2 linked regions of the Sus scrofa genome follow. The protein of the gene in region 1 interacts with the protein of each later gene in a pairwise test. Links are inferred from orthologs where the notes say so. Each region holds a gene or a part of one and is shown in the gene's direction. Other genes may lie near its edges.

Region 1 (4,285 bases):
AATTAAGGTTCTGTCAAAAAAATTATATACCTGATGGAATTCCTGTCATGGCTCAGCTGAAACAAATCTGACTAGTAACCATTAGGACACAGGTTCAATCCCTGGCCTCACTCAGTAGGTTAAGGATCCCTCATTGCTGTGTGCTGTGGTGTAGGACACAGACATGACTCAGATCTGGTGTTGCTGTGGCTGTGGCGTAGACCGGCGACTACAGCTATGATTCGACCCCTAGCCTGGGAAACTCCATATGCCATAGGTACGGCCCTAAAAAGACAAAAAAAAAAAAAAAAAAAAGTTTACAGACTTGAAAATGTTTTGAAATATTACAATCCTAATTTCTTTTAAAAGTTATTTTTGTAGGGCTTGCATCCCATTAATTAATTTTCTGTTGTTGAAGATTTCTCCATTCTGAACTTTGAAAGGTTACACACAGTTTCATGAAGAAAACACAAGAAAGACTAAAAAAAAAAAAAAAAGCTTTTTGGCTGTGCCTGTGACATGTCAAAGTTCCTGGGCCAGGGATAGGACCTGTGCCACAGCAGTGACCCAAGCCGCTGCAGTGACAACACTGGATCCTAAACCCACTGCACCACAAGAGAACCACACAACTAAAATTTTTTACAGAAAATTTGAGTTCAGCTTTAAAATGTTGAGTGAATAATTACATAATATTGAATGAGAAAAAGTAGTTGCAGACCTTAGTTTCTAGGTCTGAAAATGGTATAAATGGCTTCCTGCATGCTTGGCAGGAAAGTATGCTATTAAATGAGAGAAGATCTATGAAATATCCTAGAATTCTTTGGAGGGAAATGGCTGCAAGGTCATTAATAAAAACTCATAGTATTAGGATTTTTTTTTCAATAACTGCCCTAGTTTTAAAATACTATGTGAAGGCTTGGTTTGTATTTTTTCATACGTATAGTGAGTGTACATTTTGTTTGCCAAGGAGAGGAAGTACATTGTGTAAAATAATTTATACTCTAATGGAGGACAGCAGCTCATATGACGGTAAGAGTTAGAACTGTGAATCATCTCTTGTGCATTTTCAACTAAATAGAGGCTATCTGCCCAAGAGGGAGAAAAAAAAATTCTACAAACCACAAACTCCATCCAATCACATAAAGACAAATCAACCTTCAGGCAAATCAAATGTCTTCACTTAAAGCTTACCTGGATTTGGCATTCTGCCCATCTTTTCCAAATCTCTTAACAATATACTTTCACAAACAGTTAAAAACATGCATACTGAAAGGCAACCCCTTTGCAGTGTTATTTTTAAAAAACAAGAACTCTTTAGCCTACGGGGGACTTGGGAAAAGAAAAGTTCCTTTTGGGGGTTTGCAACCTGTGAATACGGGATTAGTGGGTGGGACTGAGGTGCGCTCAGGTGCATAAATAGAGGCTTGGGCTGAGCCAGCACACTAGGAAGCTTGGACCGCATCGCTGCCGGCTCACACAGACAGGTGGGTGGGGAAACTCAGGTAAGGCTCCTGACAGCAGTATTAGAAGGGCACTTGTTAGAGTGAGTGCTGGCTTCTGGTTACTGTATAAAGTTGCAGGCAATCAACAGGCAGAGGAATGCAGGGTAGTCCCAAGGGCAGTGAAATTGAATTTGGGGAGGAAATAATGGAATTTCCAACAAAGGTTTCCTGGGGCCTCTCTTTAGCAGAGCTCTGTTTCTGAGCAGATTCAGGGGTAATGGTTTCTCCCTGAGGAAACAGAGGTTTTAAAGTGAGCAAACTCTGGGAGTTTTCAAGCCTGGCACAGAACCCTGGGTCTTCTGTCTTGGTCACTGGGCCTTGATCACCATCAAATGCTCTGCTTCGGTCCCACTGGCTAAAACCAAGACCCACAGAACTGTAAAACCTCAGCTCAGATTGGTTGCTTGGAACCGCAGTTCAGAATATTACTGCAAATCAGCAGTTTCCTTTCTCTACCTGATATAAAGATATCCTTGTTGCTTCTTCAATCTTTAAATTTTGGGATAGGCTGTAAAAGGAGAGATCTGGTTGCTTTCCTGGAGCATTTATGAACAGGAACACAGAACCTCCTGCAAGTCATTCCTTGCTAAAGTCGAGAAGACAAAGATACAGGGACCAGTAAAAAGTGCTGGTTTCAGTGTGTGTGTATGTGTGTGTGTGTCTCCAAATTATCAGTGTCTTACCATGTCTTCTGTTTTGGGGTGGTTTAGGCAGGCAATTTGCAGAGCAGCATCTATTCATGTAATGAAAACCTGGTACAGTGAATCTCAGTCAGCTCAGAGCAGGATGTTTATACAACAGGAGTGATTTCAGCTTCTTTGAGTCATCCTGGCGTAAAATACACATCAGATAGCAATAGTTCCAATCAGACAGCTTCAGAGCTATAGCAAGGGTTTCTAATGCCACTTGCACAATGAGAATTGTCAATGGACTAAATGAATACATCACTGCTCACTGTTATTTTTTCTAATATACATTGCTATAAATCAAATACAAAATCAAATATCTGTTAATAAATTTAAAGTCATTATTTGCCATGATATTTTTCTGACTCAGCAAATATCCCAAAAGTAATTATTCTCATATAAAGGTTCTTGAGTTTTGTTATTGTTGTTGCTTATATTAAAAAGAAGTCTTTGTACTAAGAAGGCTGAGCATTGTTGACTTATATCACATTTAAGTTTTTTATCCAAAATGCTGGATATGAAAATTGTTATTGGCATGTCTGCATCTTTAAGTGTATAGAAGATGAAGAAAGTATATCTCTATTTTTGCTTATATCATTTTTGAGTGAGACATTGTGTGGCTACATAGTACAACATAGATAATAATCAGTCAGTTTAATACAAGACATCATCTAGATTTGGTAACTTGGCAATGCCTTTTTTTAATATTGGATAATGCTTAGCAAAAGTTCCCACTCAAGCCATCAGAAGATGAGAAAAAAAATTTACACCTCAAAAAGACCAAGAATTTTATAGTAGTCCATCTTGATTCCTTTGCAAAATATATTTATTTCAAACCAACACCAGTATTAGAGTGGGGTGTTTCTTTTTAACCAGTTTCAGTCTTTGGCTTTGCTAGCATCCCAAGCCTCCAGCTTTACATGTTATGGTCCCTGGATAACCTTAGTGATTTGCTAGTGCAAGTCACTTTGCTGGCTAGCTCACTCCCTCACATACTCATGGATCATACCTTCCCCTCCACTTTCCTGCTTATAAGAATCTGCTTTGCGGTAGTGTAACATTCGAGAGAATTAACTTTGGAATACTGGAAAGGAAAAACAATTAACAAAGAGGCATCCATGGGGTTGGTTTCTCTGTGTGGGCCATATATTTTTGTGGGCCTATTATACAGGCTCACACTGAGAGTCAAAGAATCAGCTCACTGGAAGAAATTTGCACCGATGTATTTTAACCAATTCAGAACCAATATATAGAGTCTGAGTAAATGTTACACTAGGGAGAGCGTTGTGTGACTGCAAGTCTCTAGCTGAAAGTTGGCAGTTTTCAAATGAAAAAAATCATTTTACTCAGACCTTATTTTTCAATGGCAATGTCCTCATGTTAACAAAATGTACATCTAGGGTAATTTTTTTCAGGATGAAAAGATGGGAGCCAGCACCACAAAGTGATAAGGTGCAAAAACTTTGCTTCTATGCCCATCTCATTAGTCTTAATTTCTCTGAATTTCAGATTCTTCACCTATGAAATGAGGCACTGGGGAGATGGGAGAAAAGGAGAGGCAACCCCTAAGATCCATTCCACCACAAAAATTTTTTAAATATAAAATTTAAAAGCAAATCCCCTTAGCTATAAAAATATATATATATCTTATTTCCTTAAAATATATCTGAATCTATTTCTATACTTTTTTTTTTTTTTTTTTTTTTTTTGGCTTTCTAGGGCTGCTCATGCAGCATATGAAAGTTCCCAGGCTAGGGGTCATATTGTAGGTACAGCTGTCAGCCTATGACACAGCCACAGCAATTCAGAATCCTTAACCCACTGAGTGAGGCCAGGGATCAAATCCATATCCTCATGGATACTAGTCAGGTTCGTTTACTGCTGAGACATGAGGGGAACTCCTATATTGTAGATTTCTATGGATATCTTCATCAGTATATTTTATCTATCTGGATCTACATCTAAATAGAGGCAGACAGATAAATAGATAGGCATTCATACTGTATAATCTTAGGAAATGTCTATGGAAGGTAGTTTTTCATTCAATTGTAAGTGTTCAATCCCATCTAAGCCTCACCTCCTACCTATTACATCCCCTGGTTGTGATGCAATCTGAAG
Region 2 (4,313 bases), on another chromosome or scaffold:
AAAGCCAATCAATCAATGGAAAAATGGGCAAAAGACCTGAATAGACATTTCTCCAAGGAAGATATACAGATGGCCAACAAACACATGAAAAAATGCTCAACATCGCTGATTATAAGAGATATGCAAATCAAAACTACCATGAGATATCACCTCACACCAGTCAGAATGGCCATCATTAATAAATCCACAAATAACAAGTGCTGGAGGGGCTGTGGAGAAAAGGGAACCCTCCTGCACTGTTGGTGGGAATGTAAGCTGGTACAGCCACTATGGAGAACAGTTTGGAGATACCTTAGAAATCTATACATAGAACTTCCATATGACCCCGCAATCCCACACTTGGGCATCTATCCAGACAAAACTCTACTTAAAAGAGACACGTGCACCCGTATGTTCATTGCAGCACTATTCACAAGAGCCAGGACGTGGAAACAACCCAAATGTCCATCAACAGATGATTGGATTCGGAAGAGGTGGTATATATACACAATGGAATCCTACTCAGCCATAAAAAAGAATGACATAATGCCATTTACAGCAACATGGATGGAACTAGAGAATCTCATACTGAGTGAAATGAGCCAGAAAGACAAAGACCAATACCATATGATATCACTTATAACTGGAATCTAATATCCAGCACAAATGAACATCTCCTCAGAAAAGAAAATCATGGACTTGGAGAAGAGACTTGTGGCTGCCTGATGGGAGGGGGAGGGAGTGGGAGGGATCGGGAGCTTGGGCTTATCAGACACAACTTAGAACAGATATACAAGGAGATCCTGCTGAATAGCATTGAGAACTTTGTCTAGATACTCATGTTGCAACAGAAGAAAGGGTGGGGGAAAAATGTAATTGTAATGTATACATGTAAGGATAACCTGACTCCCTTGCTGTACAGTGGGAAAAAAAAAATTATATAAAAAAAAAATCGCACACACACTCACACAAAACCCCCCATAACTTTGCCGCCTTAATATCACATTAACCTTAACTTTTAAGCTGTATTTGGTCATAAAGTCCTACTTTACAAGGAAATTGCTATTGTAAAAAAAGGGATAGGTCATTAATAGTCTCATTTCCCGGATGTTATCTGATATATGTTCTAAATTATGTCACATTCAACACAGTGTGCACTTTGAACATGTAAGCAGAAAAATTGTATTTAGACAGTATGCATTCTAAGTCTTAAAATAAATGTGACAACAAATTGTAGTTTAAGACAGAGTAGGTATGCTTATCATCCTTCAATGCAGCTGAATTTCAGGAGAAGACCTAAGGAATTTATAGAAACTAGAGAAACTAGAATGGTTTGGCATTAGTGTAGTTAAGTGATCTCTTGAACTTTAAACTTCCACATCATGGTATGAATTTGGTTCTAAGATAAGAAATAGAATAAATTCTCTCCTAAGGACAGACCTGAATCTCTGATTGCCTAGAGGCTGAATCAGCTGGAGACTATGGCATTTGATGGTGCCTGGAAGATAGACCGCAATGAGAACTATGACAAGTTCATGGAAAAAATGGGTAAGGGCTTAATACTTTAATGGCTTGCCCTTTTGTTTCTCACAGACATTTCTCTCTCTAACACCTTCTAAACCTCAAAGCTTAGGGAATAGTGCCTGTTGTGGCGGTACAGTTCAGAGTAGGGAAACCGTATTTTTACTTCTTATATTAGAAAGAATACACTGTCTCATTAGTGGAAGAAAAGACTCTTGCATGCTGTTCTCTGAAACACAAAAAACATCCAGGTAAGTTTCATTCATGTTAACTGATTATTGAAAGTTGACAGGTTTTTTTTTTTTTTTTTTTTTTTTTTTTTGTCTTTTGTCTTTTTGTTGTTGTTGTTGTTGCTATTTCTTGGGCCGCTCCCGCAGCATATGGAGGTTCCCAGGCTAGGGGCTGAATCGGAGCTGTAGCCACCGGCCTACGCCAGAGCCACAGCAACATGGGATCCGAGCCGCGTCTGCAACCTACACCACAGCTCACGGCAACGCCGGATCGTTAACCCACTGAGCAAGGGCAGGGACTGAACCCGCAACCTCATGGTTCCTAGTCGGATTCGTTAACCACTGCGCCACGACGGGAACTCCTGAAAGTTGACAGGTTTTTTTGTTTGTTTGTTTAGAAAGTAAAATATGGCAGTAGGTAATGATAACTTCCATACTTTAAAACACTGAATTCTAGGGGATGGAAAAGCAAAGACCATATCATAAAGCAACAAAAAAGAGTTCTATGACTTAATGACTTAAATGACCCAATCTCTTTTCCTCTGACTTAGTAAACTTTTGGAATAATCTCATGATACAATGTGGTTTCTATGAAGTTTTGATTTAATGGATTTTACTATCTATCTATATCAATACTTTGGCAGTCCACGGGCAAAAAAAAAAAAAGTTATTACCTAAAAATAAAAATTTGCATCAATTATATCCTATAGTTTAGGCATTTCAAGTTTCAATTAATGGAATATGTACATTCTCACAATAATGAATTTGACTGTAATATTTGCTAATTTTCTTTTTGGTGACTGTCAGAAATGCCGCAAAAAACCAAAGAGAATTATGAAGTTCAAAATTTTAAAGCCATTATGTAAAGCAAAGAAGAATTTAAAAAAAGAAAAGAAAAGAACCATACATGAGGAATTAAATGTACTCTTATAAATATGTAAATATACTTTGAAAATCCTTGACTTGACATTCCTGGGATTTGTTTTACTTAACACTGAAATAAAAATCTTGATAGTTTTTAAAAAACTGCTCAGTTCTAAGATTCTACAATTTTATGCATCATTTAATCTTTCTTAAGTTTTAGAAAAACCATTTGATCTGATCAAGCTTGAACTTCTACAGAAGCAATCTGAATGCTCTTATGCACAGACAATGCTACATCAGGTTTTCTTCTCCACCCTCAAAATATTAATTATTTTAATTAACTAATTAAAATAGAACTTTGAAAGATAAGCACTTTTTATAGTATTCTGACTTTATTTCTTCCAAACTCTTTCCCTTTGCAGGTATTAACGTGGTAAAGAGGAAACTTGCAGCTCATGACAATTTGAAACTGATAATTACACAAGAAGGAAATAAATTCACAGTCAAAGAATCAAGCACTTTTCGAAACATTGAAATTGTTTTTGAGCTTGGTGTCACTTTTAACTACAGCCTCGCAGACGGAACTGAACTCACTGTAAGAAATTTTTATATAAGCAATGTAGTCCTGATTTTTCTACACAGCACTAAAACATCCTCTGCTTTCTGTTATTGGATGGTTTAATCAATGTAGCTCTCCTTCATTTACTGAAGCAGCCAATGGAGCTTATCCATATCATACAAGTTAGCAGAGTGTTTAAACATAATGTTTTGATTTTCACACAGTTCTGCAAAGAACCTGGATTAAACAATAAGAATTAGAAAAATATCTTTTGAATGACTGAGTGTATACCTATTCACAGAGAAAACTAAAGCTTGGTGTTTTCAATGTTACATACCTGAGAGCAACAAAAGCTTTTAGAGTAATCTGACTTGAACATAAGAGACATTTAATTAATGTAACTGAAGTAACAAAATAAATGAACAAATTAGTGAATGAATGATCAAACAGAAAGGTCTACTGCTACAATGTAAGTCACTGGGAATACACCCTTTAATATTTTAAATATGAAATTTTACAGAGTCACATTTTTCAACTGATTTTTTAAAAAATTTTGCCCTTAGAATTTTTCTAGTTAAATTATACATGTTTGCAATGATAATTAATTGCCAAATATTTTATCAGTTATGTTGTATTTTATTTTACTTCACTTTGGTTTACTTTTCTCATTTTTTGACTGTACCCGCAGCACATGTAAGTTTCTGGGTCAGGGACTGATTTTGCGCCACAGCTGTAACCTATGCCTCAGCTGTGGCAATGCCAGATCCTTAACCTACTGCGCCAGGCCAGGGTTTGAACCCATGTTGCTGTAGAGACAATGGCAGATCCTTAACTCACTGCACCAAAGAGGGGACTCCCACGCTTATATTTTAATTACTACGACACGTACATGAATTAAAACAAGCACAAGCTCTTTTAGCTTTTCCATGAAACTAATATGAACCATCATTAAATTTAGAACACTACTCAACGTGAAAGATTTAGAAGCTCTGATGATCTGCCTTAAAATTCAGCATTTGCAAACTATTGAGTGGGATGAGCATGATGGTTACCAGCACAAACTCTAGAGCCCAACAGCCTAGGTTCAACCCTGGCTTTGTGGCTTGAGGTAAATTATGGCATCTCAGTTTTCTGATCTGTGAAATGGAGATATTTACTTC

The links.
Region 2: the proteins of AGR2 (region 1) and FABP2 interact in binary tests that used the Homo sapiens proteins (3 or more experiments, as listed by UniProt). The two-hybrid records come from large-scale screens. The link is inferred for Sus scrofa from reciprocal best matches to the Homo sapiens genes AGR2 and FABP2.

What each region holds. Positions count from the first base shown.
Region 1 is NC_010451.4:86,050,991-86,055,275, reverse strand, and holds the start of AGR2 (anterior gradient protein 2 homolog precursor), read left to right. Parts: upstream 1-1,443; 5' UTR 1,444-1,481; intron 1,482-4,285. UniProt on the Homo sapiens protein: Required for MUC2 post-transcriptional synthesis and secretion. May play a role in the production of mucus by intestinal cells. Proto-oncogene that may play a role in cell migration, cell differentiation and cell growth. Promotes cell adhesion.
Region 2 is NC_010450.4:104,462,919-104,467,231, forward strand, and holds the start of FABP2 (fatty acid-binding protein, intestinal), read left to right. Parts: upstream 1-1,423; 5' UTR 1,424-1,460; coding exon 1,461-1,527; intron 1,528-3,016; coding exon 3,017-3,189; intron 3,190-4,313. UniProt on the Homo sapiens protein: FABPs are thought to play a role in the intracellular transport of long-chain fatty acids and their acyl-CoA esters. FABP2 is probably involved in triglyceride-rich lipoprotein synthesis.